Linked DNA regions of Bombyx mori. The protein of the gene in region 1 purifies or fractionates together with the protein of each later gene. This does not show direct contact. Links are inferred from orthologs where the notes say so. Each region holds a gene or a part of one and is shown on either strand. Other genes may lie near its edges.

What was found.
Region 2: the proteins of ubiquitin conjugation factor E4 B (region 1) and ubiquitin-like protein 7 purify together in Homo sapiens (affinity purification with mass spectrometry; 3 studies listed by BioGRID and IntAct, counting the BioPlex papers as one, with this or other methods). This does not show direct contact. The link is inferred for Bombyx mori from reciprocal best matches to the Homo sapiens genes UBE4B and UBL7.

What each region holds. Positions count from the first base shown.
Region 1 is NC_085109.1:10,808,326-10,825,292, forward strand, and holds the start of ubiquitin conjugation factor E4 B, read left to right. Parts: upstream 1-5,054; 5' UTR 5,055-5,267; coding exon 5,268-5,291; intron 5,292-5,435; coding exon 5,436-6,071; intron 6,072-6,139; coding exon 6,140-6,278; intron 6,279-6,538; coding exon 6,539-7,098; intron 7,099-9,658; coding exon 9,659-9,904; intron 9,905-10,325; coding exon 10,326-10,572; intron 10,573-15,104; coding exon 15,105-15,278; intron 15,279-16,285; coding exon 16,286-16,406; intron 16,407-16,967. Other genes in the region: TOR1 (target of rapamycin), read right to left, coding at 1-476. UniProt on the Homo sapiens protein: Ubiquitin-protein ligase that probably functions as an E3 ligase in conjunction with specific E1 and E2 ligases. May also function as an E4 ligase mediating the assembly of polyubiquitin chains on substrates ubiquitinated by another E3 ubiquitin ligase.
Region 2 is NC_085127.1:4,572,943-4,590,413, forward strand, and holds ubiquitin-like protein 7, read left to right. Parts: upstream 1-8,522; 5' UTR 8,523-9,123; coding exon 9,124-9,274; intron 9,275-10,636; coding exon 10,637-10,851; intron 10,852-11,164; coding exon 11,165-11,399; intron 11,400-11,873; coding exon 11,874-12,001; intron 12,002-12,485; coding exon 12,486-12,600; intron 12,601-13,069; coding exon 13,070-13,183; intron 13,184-13,485; coding exon 13,486-13,605; intron 13,606-16,741; coding exon 16,742-16,797; 3' UTR 16,798-16,878; downstream 16,879-17,471. Other genes in the region: nonsense-mediated mRNA decay factor SMG5, read right to left, coding at 3,416-3,855, 4,826-5,024, 5,107-7,309, 7,710-7,783.

The DNA.
Region 1 (16,967 bases):
ATTAGAGAAGTGTATTTTTTCTCCCATGCTGCATTTGAGCACCTGAGTAATTCATTTAGAATTAATAAAGCTCCATGCACATGGTCATCCCTGTTCAATCCCCTTTCTCTAATAGCATGATCACCAAATGATGTCTCTGCTTCTTCATAACATTGAATATACCAATGAGCTTTGTTACTTTGCTCTGGCTGCTCTCTCTGAGAGGTTACTGCAAAAGCAGCCCTCAAAACTTTTGCTGCAGCTTCTCGTATTTGATCTTTAGGATCTCTAAGTGCTCTCATGATATGATTGAAGAATCCATTTATTTGCTGAAAAAAATATGATGGCATAGATATAGCCAGTTCTCTCAAAATTAAAACAGCCGATAATCGTTTGCCTTCATTTCTTTCTTCAGCTAGCCATTCGAAACATCTTTTTATTTCAGTCTCCACATATTCTCCTCTTTTAATTCCTAATGAGGAAGCTAATCGTCCCATAGTTTTAGCACCCAATTCTAAGAGATTTATGTCTGTAGATGGAAACACATTTCGTAGATAATTTGCATAACGTATTGTCCTTGTTTTGGTGGTCTCTGTATCACCTCCAATAAGACAAACTGAAAAGATATTTTATAACATTTTATTTATTTAAATTAGCACCACCTACTCCAAAATTTCTGTATTTGTTAATAGATTAATTATTTGGAACCATTAAAGACATGTGAATCATGGCCAATAGAAAAATATAACCTCTATCATGTACCTATAGTAAGAATTCCAGCTTTTTTTTCGTTGTTATCGTAACTAGTGGTCATATCGTGTATCTGTTGGTTGAAATCATCTAAAATTTGGGTCAAACTATCCTGAGACATTTCCCGCAGTTCTGTTTTGGCAAAATGTAGCAACTCTCGCACAGCTCGGTGTCTTGTTTCTGAATGTCGAGATTTTAGACCTGATATCAGCTCTAATACTTGATGATTCGTCATATTGTCGCCTTTGTCAGAAATTTTCATTTCAAGGAAAGCCAGATTTGTTTTTTAAAAGACTCAGAACAAACTATTACACTCGCAGTTCATCACCATCACTGCTATAAATTATTATGAATTCAAACCTCTATCAATGTTTCACTCAAATTACTATTAGTCATGATTTCGTTTGTATATTTGTCGACTTAATTGATAGTCAACGATTTTTAAACAAATTATTAAAAGATAAATGTAAACAAATGAAGTTAATAACATTCGGCCATTGACACAGGATTGATAGATTATCTATGGTTCACAAATGTAGGTATTTAAAAAAATCTTCTTGGTAGTTTTCCAATTACAGCACATTATGCGGCATAATGCTCAACGTTGAATGGTCCAACTACAGCAACGCTTCGCACAATCGAGCACTCTCAAAAGTACTGCCTGTCATCAGATATTTTATTAATGGCTCAAATAACTCATCTGTTTCATTATCATATATATTTTCAATAAGTATATCACTTGTTAATGAAATAATTGATTTAAACTCGAAGCACTCGATAAATCATCGTCAACACTATCATCTGGATAAGATGATTCAATTAAAAAGTATATAATTTTCTTATAACTCGTTTATAAAAATTACTCAAAACTTAAAAAAGTGTTAATGAAATAATCAAAATCTAAATTACTTAAAATAACCGTAAATAGTTTTCAACCAATTATTATTGTTTACCACTACATTATTTATACATTAATGAGGTTTGAATATATTTTTTTCAATACTGAACTTAGCGCACTCTGCTGATGCATTTGAAAACTAATTCACGTTCCAATTATGCTTCAGCATAATTCGGCATTGTGTCCCACTGAGTCGCATTATGCTCTGTAATTGGAAAACTACCCTTGCTTCCCTACTTTGAACTATACATAGTTATTATAATTAGATACATTGAAGAATCCGTGTGATATAATTTTTTTTGTGTACTTTTATCTTTTTCTTTTTCGTGTACGACAAAGTTAAATTGATCATCAGCTTCAACTCGGGTCATAGACATTTCATCAAAGCCATTTATGGTTCTTTTATGGCTTTCGAAAATAATAGGGAAAGCAAACAACATAGTATGTGTTTGCTTAAAACACATTAAACATCAAAGCTTAGATGGGTGGACGAGCTCATAGCCCACCTTGTGTTAAGTGGTTACCGGAGCCCATAGACATCTACAACGTAAATGCGCCACCCACCTTGAGATATAAGTTCTAAGGTCTCAAGTATAGTTACAACGGCTGCCCCACCCTTCAAACCGAAACGCATCACTGCTTCATGGCCAAAATAGGCAGGGTGGTGGTTCACGCTGACTCACAAGTGGTCCTACCACCAGTATTCACATGAGGTCCTACCACCAGTAGATGTTAGGGCCAGTGTTAGCAACACTTGCGGTTTGATTTTTACTAGGCTGCACTAAAAGTATCGGGAATGGAATATTTCCACTGTTCCTGTCATATTAAAATCTTTTTAATTGAAAACTCCTTGATTTTAAAAATCGAATACCATTTATTTATTTAAAAAAAGATTCTCGGTCTTGTCACGAGGTTTTGTCAAACTTGTTTAGTCGTTGAGAAAATGGAATTGACTCGAGAAAATTCAAGAGCGATGATATGTTATGACTTTCGAAGTGGTTTAACACAAAAACAGTGTGTTGACCGGATGATTTCTGCATTTGGTGATGAAGCCCCATCCAAAACCACAATTTATCGCTGGTTTGCTGAGTTTCAACGTGGATGTGTCAAGCTCAGTGATGATCCCCGTCAAGGTCGTCCAAAAACTGCAGTCACCCAAGAAAACGTTGATGCTGTGCGTAAGCTGATTGAGGAAGATCGACATGTGACATACCGCGAAATTCAGGCAACTTTAGACATTGGCATGAGTCAAATACAAATAATCTTGCATGAACAATTAGGTGTAAAAAAGTTGTTTTCCCGATGGATACCGCATTCGCCCTGTGAAGAGCAAAAAGCGGCTCGCGTTACTTGGTGCGTCAGAACTCTCGAAAGATTCCACGCAGGATCCTCAAATGCTGTATACAACATTGTATCAGGTGACGAATCCTGGATATACGCGTACGAACCCGAAACAAAAAACCAGTCACGAGTTTGGGTGTTCGAAAATGAGTTAAAGCCAACAAAAATTGTTCGTTCACGGAGTGTTTCAAAAAAATTGTGGCCACGTTTGTCTCCAAAACCGGCCATGTTACGACTATTCCTCTTGAGAGACAAAGAACGGTTAATGCAGAATGGTATGCTAGCATTTGTTTGCCACAGGTCGTTTCTGAACTCCGTAAAGAGAACTGCAACCGCCGCATCATCCTCCATCACGACAATGCGAGTTCTCACACCGCGCACAGAACAAAAGAGTTTTTAGAGCAAGAAAACATAGAATTATTAGACCATCCGCCGTACAGCCCCGACCTAAGCCCTAATGATTTCTATACTTTCCCTAAAATAAAGAATAAATTGCGTGGACAGAGATTTTCATCACCTGAAGAAGCTGTGGACGCCTACAAAACGGCCATTTTGGAGACCCCAACTTCCGAATGGAATGGTTGCTTCAATGATTGGTTCCATCGTATGGAAAAATGTGTCAAATTTCGCGGAGAATACTTCGAAAAGCAATAAATACATTTTTAAATAGTAATGTTGTGTCACTTCGTTAATTCCCGAAATTTTTAGTGCCGCCCTCGTAATAAACGATGTTATTTCTTCACCGTGGAAGTCGATCGTGAACATTTGTTGAGTACGTATTTCATTAGAAAAAGTTGTACCCGCCTGGGACTCGAACACCGGTGCATCGCTCAACACGAATGCAACGGATATCTTATCCTTTAGGCTACGTCGACGTTAAAACAGACAGAAAAAAATTGTGGGGTTTAAATAGTGAGTTTTGAGTTTTAAACAGAATGTCTTCATGAGCTACGGTAACCACTCATCATCAAGTAGGCCGCATGATCGTCTATCTACAAGTACAGTAGAAAAATAGAAGAATACATATAAATAACGATACAGAATAACTATTCATGTTAATTCAAGACTAAATTACAAAAACCCAAAACTTCTTCATTTTAAGTTCAAAGAGTAAACAAAAATCGTTAAATGTAGACTTTTGTCATCATTAGATCAAATTATGGAATGTAATAATAAATTAATGGCCAAAAAATATCGTCAATAAATGGTGTTAAAATATGCTTATTATTGACTAGTATAAGATCATTTATACATTTACTATTATTAGAAAAAAAACCTACCTCTATTGGGACTAATAGGTATATCATTTTGTAAATCGTACTACCCTCAAAAAAGTTTTCTCAAAACAAGCAGAGACACGTAAAGAACTAAAAGAACTAACCAAATCCTGCCCCGAAAATTACCAGTCTCGCTATTGCTCTTTATAAATTCATAGTAACTATTCTTGCCACTTTTTCCCGTTTAAATTGACTTTTAGGCACTGCCTTTTTTATTTCACCTACCTACCTACTTACTTCCATGCAAAAAGTAAGTGACTGACTGGTATCAGTGAAGAGAAGTTGTGAATGTGATTTTTTTTATGAGTCAGGTTATTCTTTCTGGTTACTGTCCGTACGTACCTATTCATGGCAAATAACAGGATTTTGCAGCTCTGCAGGAAAACACTGCAGAGAATTGACTGAATTCATTTACTTAAAGGGAAAAGTTCGGAACAAATCATACGACTTACACATTTTTAAACACATTAATTTATTATTTTAAATTTTAATATTGCAATCACTTACACTACGTTATGCCGCAAAAATCAAATAAATGTTACACATATACAGATTTGCGTTTGTGTAAGAATTAAATATTCTACTCGGATTATTTTGAGCCATTGGCCGAGCAAAGGCTCAGCCCTCCAGGAAGGGTAATGCTAAAAGTAGGTAGGTATGAAAATTATTAAAAAAAACTTTAATTATATAGTACTAGAATGATTTTATTGCTAGGGTAACATTTTTACAGTGGGTGAATGTCATATTTGGTGCTATCTCTTTTTGTTTACGTTGTTTCAAATATCACAAAAAGAGACATACTCTTTATACTAATTCATCTACAAAGATGACGCGTGTATTTTCATTATTAACTTCGTCATTGTCATTGTGCACTGTGCAGCCTCAAACGTCAAACAGCTGAGCGAGGTGACTGACTCGTTGTGTGGCTTGTGCTTCTTTTTCTTAAAAATATTGAAAGAAAAATTAACGTAACAGAATAGGCCGAACAAATTAATAGAAAAATCTACTCTATAATTTTCATCATGAGTGAATTGAGCCAAGAGGAGGTAAGTCAAAATAATTTTTTTAAACGACCGTCTATTACTACGTATGGCCAATCTAATTTCGTAACAAAACAAAGCGTCAATGGTGAACGTCCCAGCAATTGTCATTTACTCACACGTGCTGCAAGATGTCAATATTCGTTACAGATACGAAGAAGACGCCTGGTTCGTCTCGCAGCTCTTAATAGTGCAGGATCAGTGCCTACTTCAGCTAGTCCTCCGGTAACCCCTGGCGCCTCAATTCCTTCTCCTGACCTACACAGTCCACAGCAACCCTTACGATTGTCCCCAGCTCCTTCAACTAGAAGCTCTACAGAACCCACCACTCCTGACACAGCGAATGCAAATCAAGAGCCCAATTACTCAGAAGAAGTCAGGTCAGATCAATCAGATCAAAATAAAATATCAGCAGACGGTTTAATTGTAACAGAAAAAACTGACAACAATATATTGGATGAAATGCCAGACACAAAAATGACAGATCTTACACAAACACGACAGTACAGTAGCTTTGACTCAATGGGTGATGACACATTGATAAGTTGTGGGTCTGTGAGAGTGGGAAGCTTACCGCAAAATACTGTTGCTGGTTCAGAAGGGAGTTCTACAAGGGAAGATAGCACATCAAGATCAATATCTCCACCACAGTTTGTTGAGCCATCACCTGTACGACCAAGACAAACAAATGCTTCACCAAGTTGTTCTCGTCGTTCTTTGTCAATGGAAGTAGATGATGTGTCTGAAAGAAATTCTCAATCTGAAGCTCAGCAAGAACCAATGGAGGTAGCAAAGAACCGAAAATCCAATGTAACTTGTTGTAAAATTGTTTCTAACCTATTGTGTAATTTAAGGTTGAAGATGATTCATCAGCATCTCCGGCACGTAAAATACATAGATCTCGAACTGTCAGTTGCACAGAGTTGACAGAAGAGCAATTACGCACCATTGTATCAAAGATTCTTCAAGTTTCATGGTCAGATGACAGTGCAGGTAAATTAATATATATTAATTAGGAATGAAAGGAAAGTTAATGTTTGGAAATAATCTTTCCTACCTAATTTGGAAACAATCCATAATATTTTGCAATAATAACAAAATTGTTATTTTTTTAAAACAGTTCTTTCAATTTAAAATTCTATGAAATCAAGATATGTTTTTTAAAGGATTCTAGAATAAAACTTGTCACATTTAATTTTTCTGTACTTAATACTTATACTTAATCTTATTAAAGAGAGAATATTTGTATGCAGGTGGGATTTTTGTGCCAACAGTAGCAGCATCGTTACTTGATAATCCAAAACTTTCTCTGACTGAGCTCATATCTGAAGCTTTAATGGATGTCATAATACAAATAGCAGATGGTGGTGATCCATTGAATCAAAAACTTACTGCAATTATTGAGACTTCAAAGAACTTGAATGAGGAGAATGGTGAGGACTCTTTGTCCAATTCAACAAGTGTAGAAACAGATGCGGATAAACCTGAATGCCCATCACCAGCCCTACCAATCCAGAAAACGATGCCCACACAAGGCTTAGTTGTTAGTTATTTACTTCAATTCTACAATAATGTAAACTCATATGAAAGAGAACACCCCAAGAAGAGTTCAGAACCACCTTTGAGTGATTTGCTCCAAAGTTTGAGAACTATACTGGTCAATCATTTGGTACTAGTGTTACAAGGAAGGTTCGAATTGGAAAAGTGCAGGAAATCACCATTATTACCTTACATATTGATTGGGAATGCACCAACGGGCCTCATCCCAGAATTACTGCTTGCTACATATCTTGATAAAGAAATATTTGATGAGGTAAGGACCTTTATAATGTAACTTATTTAACAAATATCTTGAATAATGGATAGTCCAGGCTTGCTGCGTTTGTTGTTTCACTGGTTGTTCTCAGTACTGTAATTCTTTTTGGAACCAGTGGTAGAGTTTACAAGTTTTGTTATTCAACAAGTATGTTATGATGACATTTAAATTGAAATATAAATTATTGATTTGAATGTTTACCAACATTTGATATTCAAGATTTCTTGCAATTGAATTAAATTCAACCAATTATTGGATTTGAAATAATGGTATATGTTTGTTTTTATCTAACAAACAACTACATTGATATAAATTGGTTTATATTCATTTATAAATAAACTTAGTTAACCAACCAGTACAGTAAGAACACAAATATGCTGTATTAAACCAAATAAAAAGTTGAAAAAAACTTCTAAATTTGAACCTACTCCAATAAACACATAACTATTGCATTATTAAATTATTATTGATTTGAAATTTGAATTTGAAACAAACATTGTATTTGACAGACAAATTAGCAAAAAGATAACTTATGTTTTATTATTTAATTATGAACTTATGCACATATGTTGGGTAATGTATCTGTTCATTGTGTGTCTGTCTTTATACAACCTGCACTCCGCAATCCTTTTATTAAAAGGACAACAAATATCTTCACTAATACACTACAATAAGTATTCCACTGCTTTTATTAGTATATTGTGGAATTAAATCACATTTTTAACTATCAAATTAACGAAATATACTTGAAATGTCTTAAGATTTGAAACACACCCAAGAGCAAAACTAGTGTTCTTGAAAAATAATATAAATATTTTATTATATTCAGTTCTACGGAAGATATAATTCATTGAGATTCACTGATAAACTTACAAATACAATACAATTTTTACTAGTCAACTTGATGACTCAAAATGGGTGGGGTCATGCTGTGATACCTATGGGTTCCGGTAACTATTAAACACCAACTGAGTTATGGGTTCAGTTGCTCATTAATGCAATAAGAAGTGGTTTCTACCCTCGCAATGCGTCCTATGAGCAGTAATTACGAAAATTAAATACTTGCGGATCCGGTCTTTATTACCACATTATTCTTGGATCATGCAAGACCGTCCTGAACATATGTTGCTAAGCATATTGTATTTGATTAGCAAAAATGGGACCTGCGTGCAGGTTTTGAAAACGAACATAGTACCATCCATAGTACCATTTTACTGGTGGTAAGACCTCTTGTGAGTCCGCACGGGTAGGTACCACCGCCCTGCCTATTTCTGCCGTAAAGCAATAATGCGTTTCGGCTTGAAGGGCGGGGCAGCCGCTGTGACTATACTTGAGACCTCAGAGCTTATATCTCAAGGTGGGCGGCGCATTTACGTTGTAGATGTCTATGGGCTTCAGAAACCATTTAACACCAGGTGGGCTGTAAGCTCGTCCAGCCATCTAAGCAATAAAAATAAACACCACGCAATATATGAGGACGTCTCGTCCTTTAACACCCTAGGCCGTGATGACTGCTAATTTTTTTTATTGTGGGCAAATGAGCTTAAAGCCCATGTAGTGGTGAGTAGTCACCGAAGCTGATGGACGTCAGCAAAGCAGGTACCTGCTGCTTATAGACTTCGATAGTTACAATAAAATCTTGATAATCAAGACAACACAAGATTGCCTCTCTAAGTATACTAGCACAATTATGTTACAGTATAGGATGTATTATTAAATACTGAATTGTAATATTAATAAATCTGTAGTTATTATCTTTAGAATAATTTTATTTCTTTTAAGGACATGAATGGAACTCGTTCTGACAGAATAGGTGTTAGCATTCTGCCTTCTTGTGCTGCAAAACAACCTTGTGCTCGATTCTATCTATAGTATCGCCTGTATAATAGTAGTTATCACGTTTTGCCAATAAGACCCTAGTTAATGGCTCAAGGTGGGCACCGGTATCCGCGTTGTGGTTTTTAAAGGCTCTAAGTAACACTAATTTTTATAGGCCTATCTGTCTGCCCATCCAAAAATAATCTTGAAACTAGGTCCACGAAACTCTAATGTCACTAATATGTCGTTTTATATGTAAATGTGACAGATATTCTTAAATTGAATATTTACAAGTACCAACAATTAGTAACCAAAATCGTTACATAATTGCAGCTATCATTTAGTGCAGGCCTGGGTAAATGGCGGCTCGCGAACCGGATTCGGTAGAATTTTGTCTGGCCCGTGAAGCATTGTATATATATATATATTATTAAAAACACAGATATTAGTTTTTATCTAACATAAATGCCGGTGGGAATCAAAATTTCAGCGCCTCCTATTCGAAAATATAATTATGATAATTGAACAATTACAGTATGTATAATAGTCGCACAATTTAATTAAAAGTTATAAAAAATTCATCAATTGACATTCTTAGCAAAAACTATACTTAAAATTAGAAAAAACCCTTTGGCCCGAGGTCAAATTTTCATCTGCAATGTGGCCCGACTATCAAAATATTTGCCCATCCCTGAATTTAGTGTAATGAAAAAGCGTAATCTATGATGGGATCGGACAGGTGTTTACTTGGCTGGTGCTTGGAGTTCGTGAAGAGATGCGCAGTGCATTGGGCACGGGCCACGTGTGCGGCGGGGCGGCGTTGCGAGCTCTACACGCGCTGTGCGAGGTGCGGGCGGGGGCTCGTGGCACGCGCCGCCCTGTGTGCGAGCTGCTGGCGCGCCTACCCTCGTTCTGTCCGGACCCAGTCACCTCAGCACCGGGCCGCGAGATCGCACGCGTGAGCTTCCTCGGGCCCTTCTTCTCAGTGAGTTTCATTACCCATTACCCATCATTAGCCTTTTTTTTTTCACATAATCTATACTAATATATAAATCTACAGACTACAGTGGTTTTTACGGATGTTCCGTTATAACTACTGAACCATGCATCCGATTGACTTGAAACTTGGTATACATGTAGAAAATACATGTACTTAATGGATAGGCTAATATTTATATGAGTGTTGGACTCCCTACACCAGTTGCGGGGGCGTTAATGATGAGAATCTTTGTGGGGGTGAGAAATAATAATGTTCATTTTAAATGCCCAGCGAAGCGGACGGATACAGCTAGTTTTTTATTAACATCTTTATTGTATTGCCGAGTTCACAAACATATGAGATGTAGTGTAGGAATAAGAAATAAATAAATAATGAGAAGCTTTTTAAATAAGATTCATAATTCCAGATATCGTTGTTCGCGGAAGAGAACCCCCGTTTGGCAGAGCGTCTGTTCTCTTCGGGAACCGGAGACAGAAGCTTGGCCTTTGCTCTGCAACGGGAAGTGGAAGCCAGTCGCAATACTCTGCACAACATCTGTCATAATATCCTGGTCTGTCCCGAGGCTAGGGAGCCTTTCCTAAACTATTTCGCGGCCATACTGCAGCGAAATGAACGACGCGCACAACTGCAGACTGATGAACGTACGCTCGCTGGTGAGTTAAAAATGATCCCCGTAACGAAATCTATATACATATAAATAAAATTGGAGTGTCGGTTTGTAATATTGAATTAACCGCTTTTTAGTACATGCATATGAATTTATATACAGTTTATACAGTACATACAATTTTTATCTGTCTCTCTGTCTGTTTGTTCCGGCTAATCTCTGGAACGGCTGGATCGATTTTGCCGAGACTTTCACTGATAGCTGATGATATAAGGAGTAACTTAGGCTTATAAATTTTTATAGACTAGCTTCGCCCGGTAGTTATGTAACGATTTATTGAAATTAATTAAATCATATTTATTTTAATCTTCATCGAGCACCTCTTTTATCTGAGGAACAAGTCACACACAGTTATCTAGTAATGTGTGACTTGTCCACAGGGTATTGTTAGCATTATATAAAACCTGAGGTAGTGATTTGACTGTAGCATTACCTACCTCTGTCTTGTAGTAACATTGAAAATAAAAATTGTCGAGCTCAGTTTTATCACCTCTGATAATAGTGGAGCTCGATGAAGATTTAAAAAAAAACTCATGATTTAATTAATTTCAATAAATCGTTACATAACTAATTGCTATTACTAGAGTAGATCCCAAACTAGAATTCCCTGTACTATGAGAGTCAGAGACTGATATGGATACTTATATAAATTAAAATATATACACATCGAAATTAAACACCTAGACTAGAGCAAATAAATTTGTGCATCATATGAAGATTTGCTAAATACGGGAATCGAATATATGATATTTAGGGACGCTAACTCCTGCTCCACAGAGTCGGTCTAAATAACCAAATATGTCTTTTGTTACCCTACTCCTTTTTCCTTGTTTTCTACATTTGTTGGTGTTCATTCCATTGTCTTTTTACGCCAATCTAGTTCTTACGTATTAACCGTTTTAGTGCGTTTTCTAGTAAAGACCACGATAGTGCTTCAAGACACAACAATGTCTTGGAAACATAATAAAAATATCAATTAGCAAAATTACGATTGAATGACTTGTTGAAAATGTTGGATTTCTTTGAAATGCCGCTAACCTCGTCTCTGTCTAATAAACATACGTTTGGCTTCGGTCCAAATTAGAGATGGCGTTAACGGTTGAATTTATTTATCTGTTAACTGGTAATTGATAAAAAAAATTACCGATATTTTTATTGGTTGAAAATACCGGTAAATCTTTTCGTTGAAAAATTAATTTTGCTAATGTTAAACTTGAATGGTACTAGCACTTTTCGAAATGATCCCATATTTCTGCATTGCGTTTCGGCATTTTAAATTAGATATACAATTTAAAAATCCACAACAACAAAGTAAGCAAAGTCTCAAACACACAAAAACAAAGTCAAAACACACAAACACAAAGTACAAATCTCTTAAAATACAAAAACACAACTTTACCAAAATAATAGAAAAGATGCACTGAGCCACCAAAATGTCAAGTACCAAACAAAATATTACGTTTAAAAAATCAACCAATCACGTCATCTTCGCGTTCGGTAAAAATATCGTTTCATTTCAATTTTTTAACGAAAAAAATTATCATTAACTGTAAAATACACCAACTTAAATATTGTGCTTTATTTTGAGGGGTATAGAGCATACAATGAAATCATAAAATTCAATATTTTTTACATGATAAGTTGAAGACATCTGCAAGGCGAAAATGAATCTTACGTGTTGAAATAAAGTTGAAACTTGCATAAATATAATTTCCAATAATTGCCTATGCCACTACACGCAGTGTGTTTGGTAAACGGTATTTTTAACCGTTTTGGGTAATTTTATTTATCGAATAGAAGTGTTAATTTTTTTTACCGGTAAATTTATTGGTTATTGGTTATATTAGCCACCTCTAGTCCAAATAATAAGTTTCCCTACATCGAACCGCTGTAACACTGTAACTGATTCCGTGTAAATATTTATGTTTACGATCGCAAGTGTCTCGGGAAAAGTACTGGCGTGCACAGTAGATCATTCACTACTGTAACTTTCGGCAAACAAAATGCTGATTAGAACATTATGTGCTATTAATTCAACGTCGACTCTGACACAAATAGAATTGTAGTCTTTCAATTAACGAATTCAATATGTAGTTTTACGTAACTAGATAATAATAATACTAGGCGTATCGCGTAACTCCATCCGCGCATTTGTGGATGAAATGAGGACTTATTGTTTTTTTGCACTCGGTACTGATGAAATGTGATTATATACTTTTATTTCAAGATCTTAATACGTAACACGTTTACCAAATTCGTAAAATGTATTTTTTTTAATATTTTTCTATTAAATAGATATTTTTCATCAGAATAGTGTTTTGGCTTGATCCACCTTAACTATAATTATATTAATGTTTTTTGTTTGTAAACATCTTCGATGTAGGTACATACATGCTTGTGGGCGGTTTTAAAATAGTAAACAAATCGAAGGCTATGATTTGAAATTCAAACATAAAATGTATCAAAACCATTCAAACCAGGAGTGCGCTGCATTTTTCGCTCGACATAATATTTTCCCCGTCCACTTCAGCAAGCAACATAAATACAGTGATAAACTTGTGAAATTTCATTCCTTGGAATATGATTTTAATACTGTTTATTATGTATGCACATGAATTTTTCATATGACACTTTACCATTTAAATGCAATATAGACTCTTGTAGTATAGACATACAAAATTTAACACGAACACACCTGTATTTAGATTGTACGATTTCATTATTTGGATTCAATCCAATACCTAGAAAGTGATCGAGGTACATTTTCATTCTTGCCAAATAACTTTGTATTTTTTTCTTTTCTTTTTGTTCTGTCACTTAATATCGTCAATTCTCATTTCTTCGTGTATTTGTGACTATTATCTTACGTCTCAAGGTTGACAGCATCGCCGCGGCCATTCGCCTCTGCCCATCATAACAAAGATTACTGTACTAAAACTTTTGTAACTCTTAGTCAGAATGTATGAGAAAGTTCAAAATTAACATTATGAAAATAGCTGTTTGATTCCGCATTATACGTTATATCACTGTTTTCAACGTTTATAAAGCTATAAGGCAGTTTAGCGCAATCTATATCTATACTAATATTATAAAGTTGAAGAGTTTGTTTGTTTGAACGCGCTAATCTCAGGAACTACTGGTCCGATTTGAAAAATTCATTCAGTGTTAGATAGCTCATTTATTGAGGAAGGCTATAGGCTATATAACATCACGCTAAGACCAATACAAGCGGAGCACTAATAAAGAATGTTTCAAAATCGGGTTTTTTTCCTTTTTAAATAGCTCCATAACATTATATTATTCAAAAATATTTTCACTTTCTACGTAAATGAAGAGGCGGGTAAAATTTAGTGTTATGCCAAAGTAACTATTCCGCGCGGACGAAGTCGCGGGCAAAAGCTATTTCAAAAAAAAATTTTTCGTACCTAATCTGGTAGCCCTAAGGCTATGCCAGCATAGTCGAACGAGTAGGTGAGCTCACGGGGCTCTAACCTGAGGAGAATTTCAATAGGAATATCGCACCGCCTATGTGCAATAAAGGAAAAAAAATTGTTGACATCACGGTCGCTCGAATATTAGGTTTAAATTTTAATTAGCGTTCATGCTACTTAATTGGCGTAAATGGGGCACCGGAGATCACAGTCACCAAAACGTTAATGCCTCCTCTCTGAAGTATCGATACGTGTGGGCAATTCGAATTGCAAAGTAATTCTTCATATTCATTGTTTCATAGTCGAAGTTGTTTTTGATAATTTGTTAGGTTGATTGACTGCGTTGTACAGTACTACAACTACAACTAGTGTTACATCCTTGAATTCAAAATGTATGTAGATAAGTATATCGATAGGAAAATAGAACCCTATCTGACCCAGGCGACGGGACAACGCAAAGTTGCCGTCGTACGAAACGTGTCTTGTCGGATCCACCGGATCCTCTCTCGGTACATTTAGGCCTCTTACGCACAGGTGCCCATCCTCATCGAAATCGTCGATTACGAGGAAAGTTCGACGAGCGAACTAACCCAAAGACAGCCCACTTAATTTTTTCACCGGCTCTCTTCAATGGGTCGCGATTCCGATCCGGTGGTAGATTCAGCGAAGCACTGCTCTTACTAGGGCTAGTGTTAGCAAATTCTCTCAGAATGAGCCCGTAAGCTCAACGGCTGGACCGATTTGGCTAATTTTGGTCTTGAATTATTTGTGGAAGTCCAGAGAAGGTTTAAAGGGTAGATAAATATGATAATGCTCGGAATTAAATAAAAATAACAATTTTGTTTTTCCTCTGATGTGTCCCCCGTCGGACGGATTCCTTTTGTTTGTTTTAAGTTTATTAAACCAAAAGTTTAGGTATTTTATTTATCGATTGAAGCACTACGAAGTCTTCCGGGTCAGCTAGTTAATAATAAAAACTGGAAATATCGTTTTTTTTTCAACAACAAAATAACGCGGCAATGCATTTGACCAGGTATGCCGTGGGCTCGTCCACCCATCTAAGCTATAAAAATAATAAACATTTCAGGCGATGGCTTCATGTTGAACGTGTGTTCGGTGTTACAATTGCTGTCCGTCCGCATTAAGCTGGAGCGCGTGTACCCGCTGTACACTTTCCAACCGGACTCGTGGGCGAACGTCCGCGACGAGACTAGACTGTACTTCACCGCGCAAGAGGCCCAGGACTGGCTCGATGAACTCAGTAAGTTTCACGAGATACCTACATAATTGAAGTGAAAACTTCTTTAGAATCGTTGTGATTTCAAACCGGATGCAACGGAAAAAACGACAGGTAAGAGACACAAATACAAAAATGTGTAGGATGAAGCCAGCAAAGAATGAGACAGAAATATACATACTATTTAATACAGCGCCATCTGTGAGATTTTTTAATAAACATGTCCCTTCGATCGTCTCTGAGTATTTATTAATAAAAATACACTTATGTATGTCGGAGAATCTACAATTATTAACACCATCGTTAGACATCATAGGGGGGAATAGGGTGATCGAGCTAAGAGAAATATTGAGTATACGTTTGTTGTCTTAGGACAATTTAGATGGCGTCTACGCGCCTCCATCGGCTAGGCTCTGTCGTAGCACGAAGTTAGCCGTTTCGAAGATACCGCAATCGTGCTGCCATGTCTCGGAAATCGTACGAGTTTTGTTTAGCTACCAAACTAATGACCGTCTCCGACATATAAATATTAAGTTAGGATATTGTAATTTGCATTAGCCCTGAAATATGCCTAAACAGTTAAACATTGTTTACGTCTATTTACGCATCTTCTCAGCGGGCCGCGATTCCGATCCGGTAAGAGAATTGCATTCGCGAAGCGGCGACTAAAAGAACTTGCATTTAAGATTTGCATCTCTTTACTGGTGGTAGGACCTTGTGAGTCCGCAAGGGTAGGTACCACCACCCCGTCTATTTCTGCCGTGAAGCAATAATTCGTTTCGGTATGAAGAGTGGGGCAGCCGTTGTAACCATACTGAGCTCATTGAACTTATATCTCAAGGTGTGTGGCGCATTTACTTTGTAGATATCTATGGAATCCAGTAACCACTTAACAACTAAAAAGACGAAATAACGCGATTTTCGGTGATTACTTGAAAAAAAAAAACGATGTCTATGATACGTATAAGAAATCTTTGCACATACGAAATCGGTAAGACAAATGAAATACATAGTATAATCTGTTCTTTCAGATAACGATCCGAACCACAAGTGGCCCGAGGCTAAATTCCAGACTGTTTGTTGGTTCCTGACGCTGCACATGCATCACGTGGCACTCATTCCTGCATTACACACACATCAAAGACGTATTCGGTAGGTTAACCGGCGACTGCCGCCGTTGCTACCCTTGTTTGTATAGAATTCGGAATTTTTCTGTGTATTTTCATCATAATTTCTATAGGAAGCTTAATACCATGCCGTCGAGCCGCCAAATTACAAAATCGATCTGTCACTGGGGTGAGTTAATTAGCATGTAGACGAGTTATGTTATATATAACCACTCACCAGCTAGATTAACTGGTGGTAGGACCTCTTGTGAGTCCGCACGGGTAGGTACCACCACCCCGCCTATTTCTGCCGTGAAGCAGTAATGCGTTTCGGTTTGAAGGGTGGGGTAGCCGCCTGTAACTATATTGAGACCTTAGAACTTATACCTTAAGGTTGGTGGCGCATTTACGTTGTAAATGTCTATGGGCTCCAGTAACCACTTAACATCAGGTGGGCTGTGAGCGCGTCTACCTATCAAAGCAATAAAAAAATTGATGGTCAGATCTGGTGAAGAAAGGGTTTGTGGTAGTATATACCATGCGGTCCATACCACCCATAATCGTTCAGTGTGGAGGAAAGTCACATTTGGTCGCGATCCTCGGCAGT
Region 2 (17,471 bases), on another chromosome or scaffold:
ATTGTAAAAAAATAATGCATTAGAAGAAATCTCAATGAATTACACTGATTGTGTTGAAGGAGCTGCATTTTATGTACATAATAATATATTTAAAATAAAAAATATTGAAAGCTCTTGATGATACACAATGTATTTATATTATATATAACCTTAGACTTTGTGCAATATAGTTAGATTCGTAATATTATAAGACTGTTGAAACATTGTTGAAACAAATGTATATTTTGTACATTTTAATGTATTTTCTCAGTTAATGTAAGAATTGTGAGGCATCTGGACAATGATGGGGGAGGCTACATTTTAATGTTATTATAGAACTTATAGTTAAGTTATGAAGTTTTAGTTAATGCAAATTAGTTTTACATGCAATGAGTTTTTAAGCTTTTAAGGATTCAATTGATATCCATGAAATTTTATTGTATATTATTTTAAGAATACCTAATTTTATACTAATCTAAAGGTTTTCTTAGAATAGATAAGACCACTAACCAGTTCGTTATCTAATAGTGATAAACTATTTAAAAAGTTGCATTTGATTAAATCCACACAAATGTATGTGCTTCGATCAACAATAGTCAGCGAATCCGCGCCACTAACTTTTATCATATAAAATAATCATGTAACGTATAGAATACCGTTTTATTTTTTGTTAAATAACATAGTTTATTTTATAGATTATGTAAGTAAACATTTAAATTTGCTTATAAAGTTTCAGTAAGTACTCATTCTTAGTTCATTGTGTTTTGTTACGTAACTTATTTTATATCCATAGTATTTTGGAAACAAGATTTACAATAAATAATACTTACATCTTACTTTTTTTTGTTGTAATTATTTAAAACTTGCTTTAGTAGGACTAGTAGTATTCTACCAGTCCATGATTATTCCTAAACAGTTGCTGATTTACTATACAAAATTTACATAGTACAGGTGTAAATTTAACAGGGCTTAACATTCAAGATCAATAAATCATAAGTGGAGAACAACCTCAGATCATATTGCAAATATCATAGCAACGATAACTGCTTCAAATCAAGTTATCGGCACATTCGTCTGACTTCGAGTACCATTCATCGTTAATTAAGTAACTAACTATAGGACAACTCTACAAGTGTCACTTCTGCAGTCTTGATAGTATCCTTCCTTTTCCCGGGAAGCTGAATCCCAGAGTATTAGGTAGGTACCTAATACATGTGTTGGGGTTGTAAAGTCGAACACGTCACTGTGAATTTCTCTCTGTCAACGAGCTTGCTGATGTTAGCCTAGACCGAGCCACGTGGGACCCAGGGATAATTACTCCACTATGTCAGAGAGTGGCCTGGCGTTATTCAATTGACACATAATATCATTCTAAGCTTACCGTCTCATATCATACTTACTTAAACATGCCAAAAATTAGGTATCTCCATCTAAATCTCAAAGAAATGTTTTAATGATCATATTGAACCTGGATGCTGTTTTATTTTTAGATCCATTTTTTCCAGTTCCAGGAAGTTCCATTTTTTGACGTTTAACAAATACCTAAATTATAGAACAACTTTATATTGTAATTTAGATTCTGAGCTTGTTTGAATTTTTCAAATTTAACCAAACGACCAATAACTTGCGTATTTATTAAAAGCATTTTGCAATTTGCATTTTATAATCTTTTTTTGCGTACTTAACTAATATTTTTTTAAATGGTTATCGTTGGTTTAGTGATTGAGCGTAATAGAGCTCTTCTCTATTCGAACCGATCTGCTGTAGCAGAGTACGGGACAGGAGAGATTTCACTCTGCTCCCGTAAGTGATTCGCTTTGAAAACAGCGAAACTGCATTTGAAAAGCTATCGAAAGACAACGCTCCCCTAGATTGGGTATCCGTAGATGCGTGAGGTTCCGTGTTAGGTTTCATCATAGTCGGTTACTCTTGGCAGAGCAGTCGTGGTCATGTGGAATCCTTGTTTATTTAGCCGACGACAACTAGAAGTAGGCCTTTTTTTTCCTACGTAAGCTGAGAAACTTGAGAGGCTATTTCAGCGTAATCTTAACTAGTAGGTGAGCTCACTGGGCTTAAACCTGACGACGTTCCTAACACGAACCCTAGCAAGAGCCGTGCTTCGCAGAATCTACCACCGGATCGGAAACGCGACCCACTGAGAAGATCTGGCGAGAAACTCAGTGGGCTGTGTCTGAGGGTTAATTTACTCGCCATGCCCTTCGTCGCAAGCGACGGGTTCGACGAGAACGGTGACCGGTGCTTGAGGTACCTAAAAGCACCGTTAGTGGATCGGGAGGATCCGAAATGACGTGTTTGGGGCGACGTTGACTGCTTTCCATTCTGTCCGCAGGATCGGGAATGTAGTTACCGGCGGCCACGATGAGAGGGTTCTCATGTCGTGCCGCTTTATCGAAGTGGAATGAAGTAGGCCGTCTTGTGGCAGGTAAAGCTTGAAGTGATCGACGCTATCCGGTGTTGTCTCGACAGTAACCAATCGCTTGAATGAATAGACGCTTCATTCAAGCGATTGGTTACTATTGAGCTTGCTTGCTTGAATTTTTTTTTTCTGGTTGGGGCGAACCTCCTACGGGGTCCCCGCATCTAGGGGGCTCGCGGGGTATGTGGGACTTGACGATCAGTGTGCTTAGTGTGAGTTTTTTAGCGTTCTCGATAGCGTAAGAGTTAGCTCATATTTGTATGGAATGGGATCGTTTGCCTACGTTTGCCGCTAGGGGCGCTGTTCCAACTGCATACAAAATTCGGCTAACTTTTACGCTATCGAGAACATTAAAAAACTCGCACTAAGCATACTGCAGATGTGGGTTAATGACAGACTCGACTTCCAACAAAAAAAAATTAACACAGCCTAGCAGGCTGTCAATTGCCTACTGTCCTTTACCCCGTTTATAGAACAGTTTTTACACCAAGCATTAATTTTGGAAATGCTGAAAATGAGGTTGGTTACCACGTTTTGGTAATACATATCGCAACAGGCGAAGTTACTCTCGTACAGAAAATAAAAGGCAATTTTATTTTTCAATGACAACGAATTTATTCTAATGAGAAATTAATTTGAATGGTGTTGTAGCACACAGGCAATGAAACGGTTGAGTAGTTTGTAATCAATGTGAACTAAAAATGATAATTTTCCCAATCGTATGCTATATGAATACATTATGAATTATGAATTTATGGATGGTTATATAATGTTACACCGATATATAAAAATTTATTATTGATACAATACATCAATAGAAAATTTTCCGCGCTACCTTCAATGAAAACATTATTAGTTTTTTTTTTTTTGTATAGTGTATAGTGAGCGTTTTGGACGTGTCCTATCAAAACCTCGCAAGAGCTTTTTGACGTTTTATCGATATCCTCGAAGTCCATTCTTTCCATAGTGATCAAAACCGGTCTCGTGATCGACACGCGTTCACCTCTTTTTACCGTTTTTATGCGATGTCTGTCGCCATTTGCTGTAGAAATCTACGATGTTTTCTACGGAAATGCCGGCCGATTGCGCTGCGCCCATAACACTAAATTCTTTATACTGTTCTTCATCTTCATCAGCATTGCCAACGAGTAGTATAAGGACGGACGAAGACTTCCCTTGTAAAACGTTTTCAGCATCACCGGATCCTTGCGTCTTTTTATCTTCCGCTACGAAATGATTGCAGAACTCTAAAATCTGAATAAAGTTATTAATATGGGCTGGAGCTTTACGGGGATATTTCAAGAGCGGCAGGGGCTTTGACTGGTTCGGACGTTGTGCTCGTAGAAATCTTGAGCCATTTTTTAATTGAAGTTCCAACCAACGGATAGCTTTACGTGCTGTGCTCTGCTCTCGCTTCAAATTGTCCAGTTCTTGTAGCACTGAAATAATGAAGGAAATATATTACACATTGCTTAAGGTTTTCTCTTCTTTCATCTTTCAATCTTCAGTTAATCAGCAGAAGTCATTTTGATCTTACATTTCAAGATAGTGAGCAGCAAACTATTGTATTTATTATTAGCACAAGCAATTACCATCACTATAGCAGCTATATAACATCAGGTGAGTCATAAACTTGAAAAAGACATATCGTCTTTTCGGATTAAAAGTGTACAATTTCCAAAAATATTCGAAATTGAGTTAATATGCGAAAACATTTGGTATCACCAGTATTTTTCTCATAAATACTGTTAAAAGAGCGTAGTTTATTTTAGTTTTTTAGTTTATCTATGTTTTGACTACTACTAAGAAAATTATTAAATAATTTTATCTTACTTTAAAAGACAGATAGTGTAACTGTTAAAAAATAAAATTAAATGTTGCAGATATGATTAATATTAAAAATATCACAAGTTAAGCCCAATACCGTCTTTACCATAAGGGCACACGGGGCCCGTGCCCAGGGCCCCCATTCTCAGGAGGCCCCGAAAGACCGACAATTTCTCTCACACGTTTATTCTCAAAACATTTTTGTCGAGCACATTACACTTTTTTCAGTAGTTAGGAGGTATTTAGAAGGCATATACTATGCCTATAATAGAAGATTTTGCTCAACAGAAATCCCGAAAGAAACCGTTATCGAAATCGTAATCAAAAAACCAGCAGCATTCTAATATCATTAATGACATTATATCATACTGTATTTGATTACGTATAACAAATGGTCATACTCAGTAAAAAAATGTTATTATAATTTGCTTTTTTTACTTTCCAAAAGGGCCTCAAATTCTTGTGTGCCCAAGGGCCCCATCCTAGCTTAAGACGTCCCTGGTTAAGCCTTTAAAACACACCTGTAAAAAATTAGTAAGTTTTGAGATTATACAGTTTTAATGCGAGAAGACGATATCTTACCAACTGTAGGCACCATGAGCACAAAGTTGGTTGTGAGTAGGAGCTGTTTGACACGACGGAGGTGTTTGTTAAGAGCTGCGGTGTCAAGTACGAGTAATGCAGGTGCCGCCGACTGTCCGCTGCGTTCCAACTCGCGTACTTGTGATGTCAACCATAGTCGACCAAGGCGCCGTAGTAATCCACTTTCATTCGATTCAGTCTGAAAAATAAAGCAAAACCACAACTGTTAGTTTAAAAACAAAAACATTGATGTTAATTCTATGGAAATTAAATATACATACATTTTTCTTTGAATGCCATTCTCTACTTCTTTTATGGTTAATTTTGGTATTCAATTTAGGAGGGTGAATGTTTTTTAGATAAAACAATTTCATGGTCCTGTTAAATCTTATTCTGGGTATAATTTTAGCTATCTGGTTCCCAAAATCTATGAAGTTAAGAATCCTTATTACGTTTTCTTCATAAACAGATAATTTATACTTTTCTAAGATGTGCCATTCAGCAGCATCTTTATCAAATTTACAAATGTTTGTTCCCCGTAAATTTATATCTTCAGGTAAGGGTATTGTCTTGTATTCAAGTTTCATTTTCATGACTAAATTTCTAATGTACTTTATTAATTCACAATCTTCTTTAGTCCCCTCATCAGATTTTGTATTGAAATAAAATGTAAAAATATTTAACAAATCTACAACGCATTGAAACAAGGACTCTCCGCTGTCTCCACATGAAAGAATTAAATCTTTTTCAATCAAAATCCAATCCAACAACAGCTTGATACTGGCCATGAAATTGTTTCCTTGTAAAAAAGTTTTCAATTCTATAGTGTTTACTTTGCTGTTTTCCTGAGATTTTGTTGTATTACAATTCAATAAATTTGATGAATTAAGTGAATTTGTTTCTGTAATCTTTGAGGTGATATCATCATTCAATATTTTATTTGGTTCTACTTTTTCATTAATTTGTTCACTACTTTCATCTTTAGTTTCATCGTTAACTTCATCACAATCGCTAGCTTCACTAAGTGATACAGATTGATCAGAGGAATCTGACAAGTCGCTGTATGAATGTTCAATTTCATCTAAATCACTGCTTTCAGTATTAGCATCACTCACGTCAGAACTTTCTGAAGAGGCAATGCGTCGACGGCGACGACGTTTCATAAGTGCTTTCTTTGCATGCTTAGCATGACCATTTAGATTGTTTTCTTTTACATTATTTTGTTTCTGCTCCTCCAATTCTTGTTCTGCATTCTGGCCATTGTTCACTGTGCTTTCTATAATTTCTTTATTTTCATCATTATTGTTCTCATATTTTTCTGTTTGTTCATTGTGTGGTTTTGAAGATCCATAATTATGAATCTGCCTAGGATTTACAAAACCAATTGAATCCAATTGCTTAAGCAATTTCAACAAAAGTTGAGACAAAAGAGCAAGAGTGAAAGCTTTGCATGCAAAGGCTTTTGTTTCATCAATTTCTGTCATTTTTGAGACTGTGAATAAACAAATCAGAACCATACGATGTATTAGATTTGGATTTAAATAAGATGGAAAATTGGTTTCATGTTCCAAAATTGATAGATAATCATCATAATTTTTATCAATATCAGGAAGTGTGGCTTCATTAAACTCCATACAAATCTTTAGCTGCTGTGCGATTTTGCTGCAGCGCTGAGGAATATCAGAATCAGATTTGTTCAAGTACCATATCTCAATTAATGAAAGAAAATTCACAATTGTATTTTGTATATGTTCAACCTGAGTTAAAGTATCTGATTCATTTATTGTATGGTAAAACTGATCATTTTTCTCAAATATTTTTGTAAGATTACCCATGGCCCCTTCAAATGGATTTTTAGAATTAAGACAGTGAATATAAAAACATACAGAATCCAAGTTGTAATTTTTTTCAAGATAAAGGTTTCCTAATTGATTATAAGGCATTCCCAATGTAAAGTCAGTATGAGCAGCTTGTAAGTAGTATCGAGCAGCAATTGTTGGTTCAAAGTGATTTGATATTTCCACTGCATAACGACTTAAATCCCCTAAATATATCAAACATGAGTGCAAAGCAGATTTTCCAAAATTTGATAGTTCAACATTACCAGAAGATAGTTGCAACTCATCTTCTTCAGTATTGGGCATATAATCTAACTCCTTGAAATCTACTTTCATTTCATAATGAATTCTATCTAAGAAATGGTGAAAATTACCAATTCCACATTGGATGAGGGTGAACAGGAAATGGTCATGCTCACTATCAGTTCTCAACTTTTTGGCAGTAGATATAGTGTCATAATATACTTTTCTCCATAGTAGTTCAAGTGCTTTCTTGCCGTAATTAATTGGATCTAGAAACAGTAACTTCTCACAATTGTCCCTCAGCTTTTGTCTCTGGACTTCAATGTTAGTAGTAAAGAGGTCTGCCACAAATTTACTTGTAGTCGACATGTCATTGATACGTCTTGCTACATCACTTAAATAGCTGAAATTAGAATATTTTTAATTGATACTGGTACGGCCTGTGCTTAATATTATTTAAATTAAAACGTAGAGTGTATGTTCGATACTTTATTGGCTGAATGATCATTAAATCTGGTAATCTGAATAACACTTTATTGTGAGACTGTGATTATATAAATAAATAAAAACTTGAACTACAATATTCGATATGACGTAATATCAACAATAATAACATTAATTCACATACTTAAATGTTGAGGAATAATACAATCAAGTACTCTTTAGCATAGCTACGTAATTGTTTAGACATATTCTAGTTTAATTTTCTATAGGAGCGTATGTTAGAATTCATTTAATGTAACTACGTTGTAAATCATTAACTTATTCTCAATAAGTTTATGTGTAAGAACATTTTTGCTTACCGATAAAGTTTCTTGGCACGTTCATTGCGCTCCGCAATTTTGGCCTCTGATAAATCGAGACATCCGTTCTTCATTTTCAAGTCATTTTATCGTCTGACCAAAATGTTGATTTAAAAAAGAAAGTTCCTTTAACTTCAATGTGTTACTTTATTAAATATGCCAACGAAAAACATTTCGTTATTATCATTTTCCCAATGAACTATATAGGTCTATGCATTTTCCTTGCATGGACATATCCGTCATTTTCATTACAGAATATATTTTACACAGGATATACAAAATATCTCTCAAATATTTAGTGTATTATCTATGCAAAATAACTACTATCTGATCTTTAAGGACTTTTTGGCGGGAACGCGAGGAGTGAAGTTGTGTGATTTGTTTTATTTTGTCTATTTAGTGTTTTTTCAGGTTTAAATGTGTAATAATGGTGGTTTATTAACTGTTTAATAACTGCGAAAGTGTACAAATGTGGGAAAATGAAACAAAGCCGCTGGACGTCACTTCTCGGGATCCTCCAAAAAGTCCAATGAAAAAGTCTCAGTAGATGACCACCATTTTACTGAAATTATATTTCATCCCATTTCATTTCATTTAATTTCATCCCAGTTGATTAATGTCTCAAATTAATCATCATTTCATTTCACTCCATAATATCATTTTTCTTAAAAATATGAATATAAATTAAAATAAGACATGACCTAAAGGTCTTAGTTACGAGGTCATAAAATCCATTAAAAAAAAATCTGACCTTTAAGACTTTTTGGCGGGAACGCGGGGAGTGAAGTTGTGTGATTTGTTTTATTTTGTCTAGAGAGAGAGAGAGAGAATTCTTTATTGTACACCAAAAAACTAATAAACAGTGCGATACATTAAACATAAAAAAGTACAGTTGGCTAGTTAGTGTTTCTTCAGATTTAAATGTGTAATAATTGTGGTTTATTAACTATTTAGTATCTGCGAAAGTGCACAAATGTGGGAAAATGAAACAAAGCCACTGAACGTAACTTCTCGGGATCTTCCAAAAAGTCCACTGAAAAAGTCACAGTTAATGACTACCATTTTACTGAAATTATACTTCATCCCATATCATCTCATCTCATGTCATTTCGTTTCGTTTTCATTTCACTTCATGCCATGTTTCATAATAATGAACTTTCTTTTCATTTCATAATATCATTTTCATATAAAAAAGTTACGTATCATTAAAATTAAAATAAGGCTTGACCTAAAGGTCTTAGCTACCAGGTCATAAAATCACTTAAAAAAAATAATAATGATAATACATACCTGTCACTTATGTGAAAATTGTGAAAAATAATGCTTTCTGCAAGTCACTAAAATAATTTTTTTTAGAATTTATTGCTTCTTTAATTATCTATAGGGTCATATTAAAAGGCAATCTCAACAAGAAATGGATAACCAGCCATGCATATTTTTGGGTATAAAAGTGAAACCTGGACCAATAGAACGTCACAAACTAGAGAATTTTGGACTCGAGAATACAGTAGATTCTCTTAGAACTGAGGCTGAAAAGCGATCCAACGTACCATCATCGTCATTAGGTACGTTCTTGTATAAATCGTAATATGTATTAAAAGCCTCGAAAAAATTGAATTAGACAAAGAATCACAATAGAGTGGATATACAACACTACATATCTAGATTTTCAATATTTCCATTTTCATGGCTTCGACTGATACGGATTAAACTATCAAATAAACAAAAAATTGGGTACTTACGTATTAACGCCACCGCGGCAAAAATGTTATGGTTAGCAAGTGTGGACAACTCGAAAAATATGGAAAAGCGAATCAGAGTACCCCACTTTCCACCTGGTCTTGTCTGTCCTACCCCTAGAGTGTATTTAAAAAACCGGAGGCGCGGAGGGAGAGCAGTCCTCGCCCGCTGTGACGGAGCATGAGTGACCGTGCTTCGGCACGCAAAGGCGGAAGGGCTGCTCTTCCCGCAGCGCCGGAGATAAGGCGGATTCAAACTAAAGCTCCATTTGAGTTTGACTAAATAATGCAATTTTAATAAATAAAAAAAAACCGTGGATGTCTTCATAACCATGGGGTTCCGCGGGGTGGGAATGGTGCAGGGAGTAAACCCTTACCCCCTCCCTCCCCCCACCCCCACCCTGACCCAAAATCGACAGACCATAAAGGAAAGTTTAACGGATTTTTGCAGCAGTGGCGCTAATACGTAAGTACCAAAAGTTGAAATGTAAAATTTGTTTTTTAAATGTGTATGACTAATGAGAAGTATAATTTTATCTACAAAGCAGATGTTTGTCGAATAATAAATAGAATAATTTATATTTGTGTTTCATGTAAAAATATATTATTTGTTTTTACATGAAATTATTGTTCCTTTTTGTTTTTATTGGTTCGTTGCTTGCCCTAAAATTAGCCTTTTTTTAGCTCTTCATTTTTTATTCTCTTTGCTTCGAGACAATATTTTTATCAACAATTCAATCTAGTTCATATTGTAGGGGAATGATACCCCGCCCCGCTTAGCTTACTATGTAGTTATTGTGTATATAGTAATGAGCAGCATACGTTAGTCAGTCAGTGGTCAACGTGCAGCGATCCACCGCTGTCACTGACGCGAATAAACATGTAATCATATTCAGTGTTTTATAGACCACTCTGATGAGGTTTATGGAGGACAACATGCAATAAACAACCAACGCACACACCTCCTCCTCCGTCTTCCCCCTATAAACCTTACAATATTATACACTCATCACCACTTGTGTGTCTCAAATTATTGTAATAGTGCAGGCAGCATTTCAGTACAGTATGGCTATAATATTTAAGTACACCCCCAATTAATATTCCTGTAATAAATAAGTCAAAATGTTCAGAAACAATCTTTACAGTCACTAATTATCTTGATGTAAAACATTTTTTTAATACCAACAGAATTAATTCACCACGGAAAAATCTTAAAAGACAAGGCAACACTTCAAGAATGTGGAGTCAAGTCTGGTGAAATGGTGCATGTTGTGAAAAAGAAGACTACCACTGCCAGTGCAGCACCTCCAACTTACACTGATGCTGAGCTGCAGCAGTTAAATGCATCACTGAGAACTCTTGGATGTACACCAAATGCACCAGGTTGGACTAGAGCTATGCAGGTCATTACACCATTTATATTGTCATTTTGTATTTATTTAAATGAGTGGAGAAGCTATCAGCTCACCTGGATTTCGCACCGTAGTTTCGGGAGACTGTGCCACAACATGACCTGTTGCCTCCTGCTTTGATTTATAAGGTTAAAGTGTCAACTGTAATTTGAAATGGCTGTCACTGGGAAATGGCATGGAATACTCTGTTTGTTGTTCTATGCTGTACTTTGGTTGAATTATCCACGAATTGAATTTCCAGGTTGCTTATCACTATATTTAAATGTAAAAAAGATTATTTTTAAATAAAGTCCTATATTTGCAGCTCTTAAATGATGACTCTGTTATGGCTGAGATCATAGAACAGGCCCCATCACTAGGAGAGGATTGTGTAGCTCTTTCAATATTGCACGAGGTTGAGTTATTGGCAGCTCTGGGTGCCAATCTACAAACAATGAGGCGGGGTGCCACAGCCCATCCAGAATTGCCCATAGCATTGAGACACCTCACAAATCTTGTTAGATCACGCTCTTCAACCGGATCTACTCCTGGTGATACTGGTAAGATTATTTAGGGACCAAACAAAACTGCACATCAGCTCCAACATATGAATAGAATATATTCTTTAAATATGATTATCTTCTAATATATAATAGACAAATGAAGTAAATCAACTTATTTATATTATCTATCTAAACAAATAGAAATGAATGTATATGCATCTTTGTCCTCTATCCACTGTCAAACTGCCTAACAAATGGCCTTGGTTGCTGATTGATGTTGGTACCTTTAGAGATGTTTTGAGGTACTGTCACTGGCATGCTGTAGAGGTAGTAGTTTCAAGAAAACAATGTCTTTTTATATAATCAATTTTATTAAAAGAGTGGTACATCATGTTTCAGTAGTCTAGAATATGTACTTACTTTCATTTTGTTATTAGATCTTTTGCCAGATATAATAGGACTACAATATTAACATTTCTTGTCTTGATACACCAATCCATCACAGATAACACTGTTAACTTACACTTTCAGCACCCACATCTGGATTTGCATATTCATTGGAGGCTTTGTCTGAAGATGAAGATGGTGAAGATGAGGAGACTGATGAAAATGGTGAAAGAAACCAAATAACTCAAGAACAGTTAGCAGCAGCATTGCAGGTGAGAGACTGTGAGACAAGACTTATAGGTCCCTTAAGAACATTAATTATATTTCTCTGTCATCAATGCACCGCTTTGCCTCATTACTTTCTATGACAAGAGAGAGCTTTCTATTTTTCCCTACCTGTAATGTAATAGCGCATGATGTTAGATCTTGATGTGTTACAACACTCTGATAATGAAATATAAAGGGCTGCATCTTTTCTTTTAAATTTTGTGACATAATCAATTCCTCCAAATTGTCAGAGGGCTTTCGTGATTAATTACTAACAGTCGAATGGCAGTTCATCACTTTGAGCTTCTTGAGGATTTAAATATCGGGGGATTCACGAAATTCCTAATAAGGGCGTGTAAATATTATTTTACTCACATAAACATGAACAAGCATTATTTATCTAATGTGATTCATATTTAAGTGGCAAGATCTTGGAGGAATTAAGTAACTTTTATTAAGTAATAGTATGTAAGTTACGGATTGTGGCAGGCGGCCACGGAAGCCGTGTCGACTCCGCGGAGCGGCGGCGGCAGTCACGAGAGCCTGCTGCGGTTGCTGCACGCCGGCGACTCCTCCCGACCGCACTCCTCCACGCAGACCTCAGGTACACACTTTTGAATACTATTCATAGTGGATTGAGCGAACCAGTTCTGATTTAATTGTTATTTTAATAAGTCTCATTATCCCCTAAAATAATTTCTCAATGTTGACAATTCATTTTGGTATTTAAATTATTCAGAAGTTTGTCTTAAATAATGAGTATGATGGCAAATAAGAATAAGAAAGCCAGCTGTGTTCCTTCTTCCATGTGTTCTTTGAATTGGTGGTAGAGTTCATTTTGACTTTCAACAAGAATGCTGAAATAACACTTATGTTATTATTATTATTATTTATTACATTTACTTTGTAGATGTCTATGGGCTCCAAGAACCACTTAACACCAGGCGGGCTGTGAGCTCGTCCGCCCATCTAAGCAATAAAAAAATTAAATAAAAATAAAACACCCGAATTCAAAATGATCTTTTATTATTTTCATACATATTTAACACTTGTAATACTAATATCACTTACAGGCCCCAGTCGCTCGGTTATCACTCCGGAAATGTTCAGTGAAGCTATTTCAGAAGCTATAAACAGATCCAGCAATAGACAAAGTGATGGAACACCTATGGAACAAAGTACTGCAGGTATTCATTCAGCATTCTAGTTTTGTTTAATAGTATCAGTTGAATATTCGGCTACTGTAGTCAGAGTATCAACGGTATAAATTTTTGTTGAATTTTAAATTCAAATTTATTTGAATTGATAAAATTGCTTAAGCGTGACATGGTCTCATGTAGCTACCAGACAGACTCATGGAAATAATGCAAATACCATAACCACATTTTGTTGACATTTTTGTTCTATTACTGACTTGGACAATAACGATTCTAGTTATGGTACATTTGTTAAATGTAATACAACGTTCAAATTATAATTTTAATTGTAGCATCTTCATCTCAAAGTCCCGGAGGAAGGGAAGATAATTTTACAACACAATTGAACCATATGCATGAAATGGGTCTACTGGACGACGCCCTAAATGTTCGCGCCCTACTAATATGCTCCGGTAAATATGTTGCATGAACTGTCTCTGCTGAGTTAATTTTTTTTATTGCTCTTGTAAGCATACGAGCATATGGCCCACCTGATTGTGAGTGGTTACCTTCGCCCATGGACTTCAGCAATGCCAGGGGCAGAGCCAAGCCGCTGCCTACCGCCAATTATGACCTTCAAAGGTTGTCGAGCTCTTGGGCCAACCATGGGTGATCAGCCTCATTCACTGACCTTTCAATTACAAATATTAATTGAGGATAATATACAATGTAAAAGGGGCACTTATTTTTGAAACCGCAACGTCAATATAAGACAATACTGCCATAATTGAAACAGAAACCGGGTAATGAAAATCACCCCAGAATTCTCTATCGTAGTATTCGTTTCTCAGGCAGGTTTCTTGGCAGTGAACGCGCAAACTTGTGTCTTTAACGGGTTGAATTGAACCAAGTTCAATTCACCCCATTTGGAGACTCGCCCCAGAGAGTTCTCCACTTCAGACACAAGTTTTGATCGTCTCTCTTGCACCACGCTCCGAGAGAGACTCTGATGGCCGATATATCGCGCATCCCCCGTGCTGTCATCCGCATAGCAATGCATGCCATCAATAGACAGCATGTCATTGATATACAGGATGAAAAGCGTGGGGGAGAGCACCGAACCTTGTGGAACGCCAGCGTTAATGGTCATGGTATCAGAGCAGTCACCGGCTACAACGACCGTGATGCTCCGCCCATCCAAAAAGCTAGCGATCCACTTGCAGAGACCCTCGGGGATTCCGTAAGATGGTAGCTTCGACAGAAGTGCCATATGCCAGACCCTGTCCAAGGCCTTCGCGATATCAAGGCTCACAGCAAGAGCCTCGCCCTTGCTTTCCAAGGCTTCAGCCCACCTGTGAGTAAGGTATACAAGAAGATCGCCAGCTGAGCGACCGTGACGGAAGCCGTACTGTCGATTACTGATCAGCTGGCGATCCTCAAGATTCTTCAGGAGTTGTATATTTATAATTCGCTCCATCACCTTGGAAAGCAAGGAAGTTATCGCCATAGGCCTATAGCTCGATGGGTCCGACCGGTCACCCTTCTTGGGGATAGGGTGGACGTGGGCGGTCTTCCATGAAGACGGAACCCTGTTAACGCAATAAGAAAGACGATACAAACGCGTTAGCGCAGGCGTCAGCTCAGGGCCTCATCATGCCGGGACTGCTTCTCATTTATACAGGGTCTTGCAGTGCCATCGGTAGGAACTTTAGCTGATCTTAATATTTTGTCTTCGAAGTTTATTAGACACTGGTAAATGACGAGGGCAAATCAAATGAATCAATTGCAACTTTAAGCTTTCCAATGATATATGTATTACAGAACATAGCATCATTCACATCTGCATTTAGTTTTCCATGTACATTATCAAATGCGAATTACTATGAGTGACCACTTTTATAGTTCACAATGTAATTTATTCACGTCCACGTCGCTTCGACCCTTCGAGTGTAAGGGCACTCACGACAGCGGGGCACGTGTGCAGGCAACCCCCTTTCTGCTTATCTTAACATGAAGCTGCTTGCAACAGCGTACATCTTGAAGACAATTTAAAATTATAATCGCTGAAGTTTTCAAAAAGGCAGTCTTTTCTTAATAGCATCACACACACATTCATACTTTCATGAATTAATTAATCATGCGATATTTTCCTAAATTAATTCAATTTTTTAGTCGATTGTAGGTTTCTGTAATCGACAACCTATTACGGCATATCTAATAGGTTGAGGAAAAAGTTTCTTCGCATTTTTTAAGAAAATTCACAACATTTTTTAATATACATAGTTTATTTACATTTAACTAAAGTATGTAGGTACCATTTTGTTCGAAAACTTTTGGCCATCTTGTAGGTAGGGACATAATCTCATTGCTATAGAAATTTTGGGACTTTGATCAAAATAACGCGACAATTGGTTTTGGTAGTTCTCTCGTGATGTTAACCTGACACTGCCTAATGAATTCTGAAAAGACCGAAATAGGTGGAAATCTGAAGGTGCAAGGTCAGGACTATACGGCGGATGCATTAACACCTCCCAGCCAAGCTCTCTTAATTTTTGCTGAGTGGCTAAAGATGTGTGAGGTCTAGCGTTATCATGATGAAAAACCACATCCCTTCTGTTGATTAATTTCGGCCACTTCTCTCAACTTCTTGCTTTAATCTCATCAGTTGTTCGCAGTAGAGTTCTTGCCTGGTGGTAACAGCTCATAATGAATAATGCCCCTCCAATCCCACCACACACACAGCACCTTGTTGCGAGTTAACCCGGGTTTCGCCACAGTCTCTGAAGCCTGATCGGCCTTTGACCACGACCTTTTTCGCACGTTCTTGTCGTACGTGATCCACTTTTCATCACCAGTTAACAGCTTCTTCTAAAATGGTTCGGTTTCATTACGTCGTAATAAAGAATCACAAATGAGTATACGGTTCATTAGGTTTCGTTCAGTGAGCTCGTGAGGTAGGAGGAGGTTTTTTGGGTACCCAGTTTTTTTCAAATGCGCCAAAACTAGTTTTGTGATCAATTCCCAATTTTTCAGCTACATCGTAACTACCGATATGCCGATCTTACTCCGCTTTTTCAAAATGGCATCCATTTTATCCGTAATAGGGCGACCAGAGCGACGTGCATCTTTGACATCAAAATTTCCGGATTGAAAACGCTTAAACCAAATTTGTGCTACTCTCACAGACACTGCACTAGGTCCATAAGCATCGCAAATTTTTTTCGCGGCTTGCGTTGCATCCTTACCTTTATTGTAGTAAAATTTTAAAATGTATCTAATTTCTTCATTAGGTTCACTCATCTTGACAGTACGAAAAATAAATAAAAATCACATATTTTTTCTAATTTGAATTTAGAATTATCTTCTTTTAAAATTTATGATACCAAAACCAGCCAGATACAAACAGTATATCCAAAGAGATTTTATTACAAGTTCATACATACTATAACGCGAAAAGACTTTTTCCCTAACCTATTATTTCTACATGTAACTATTTCATTTAGGCCCAAAATTTCCAGTCCCGTTTTGGGGTTTTGCCCGTTGCCATGAGATTCTAATAACTTTGAAATATACCCTATATATTCGAAACTTGCAATAATTTGATTTCAGGTGACGTGAATGCAGCTATTAATTTAGTTTTTAGTGGCGCCATCGGAGATGAATAATCTTCAAGGGAAACAATTGTTCTGAAATATCTACATAATTAAACATATATTGTTCTGGAAAGATAAACATTAATGAATTGATTTTGTATTATTGTAACTATTACCTTATTATTAACCTTCATACATACATTTTTACAAAATAACTAGCTGACCCGGCAAACGTTTTGTTGCCTTAAATAAGATTTCTAGGGAAATTCTAATGTAGAAAAAAAAACCTCATTCAACCACATAATACCTCATTGTAACAAAAAAAAATTATCTAAAAATAAATGTTTGGGGTGGAAAAACCCTTATCACTTAGGGGTATGAAAAATAGATAGTAGCCGATTCTCAGACCTACTGAACATACTATTGATACACAAATAAAACCAAAAAACATGGCTGAAAAATGTATAGTGAGTAAGACAGGAGACCGGCTTCATCCTCACCCCTACTACGTGATGTTTGCTGGATGAGTGGTGACACCTGGCGGGGATAACTGATCGATTGATAGTTGATCAGTAGTCGACCGAAAAAAATCATAATTAAAGGAACTTGAAATTATAAACTCTGAATAAGAACTTATCGTACTACAATTATAATATTTGATTGCCATCTTGCAACCTTATTGCGGATCTGTGGATAAAATAAAAAAAATAAAAATCGGGATGGAAAAATAGGGGTTGATCGTATAA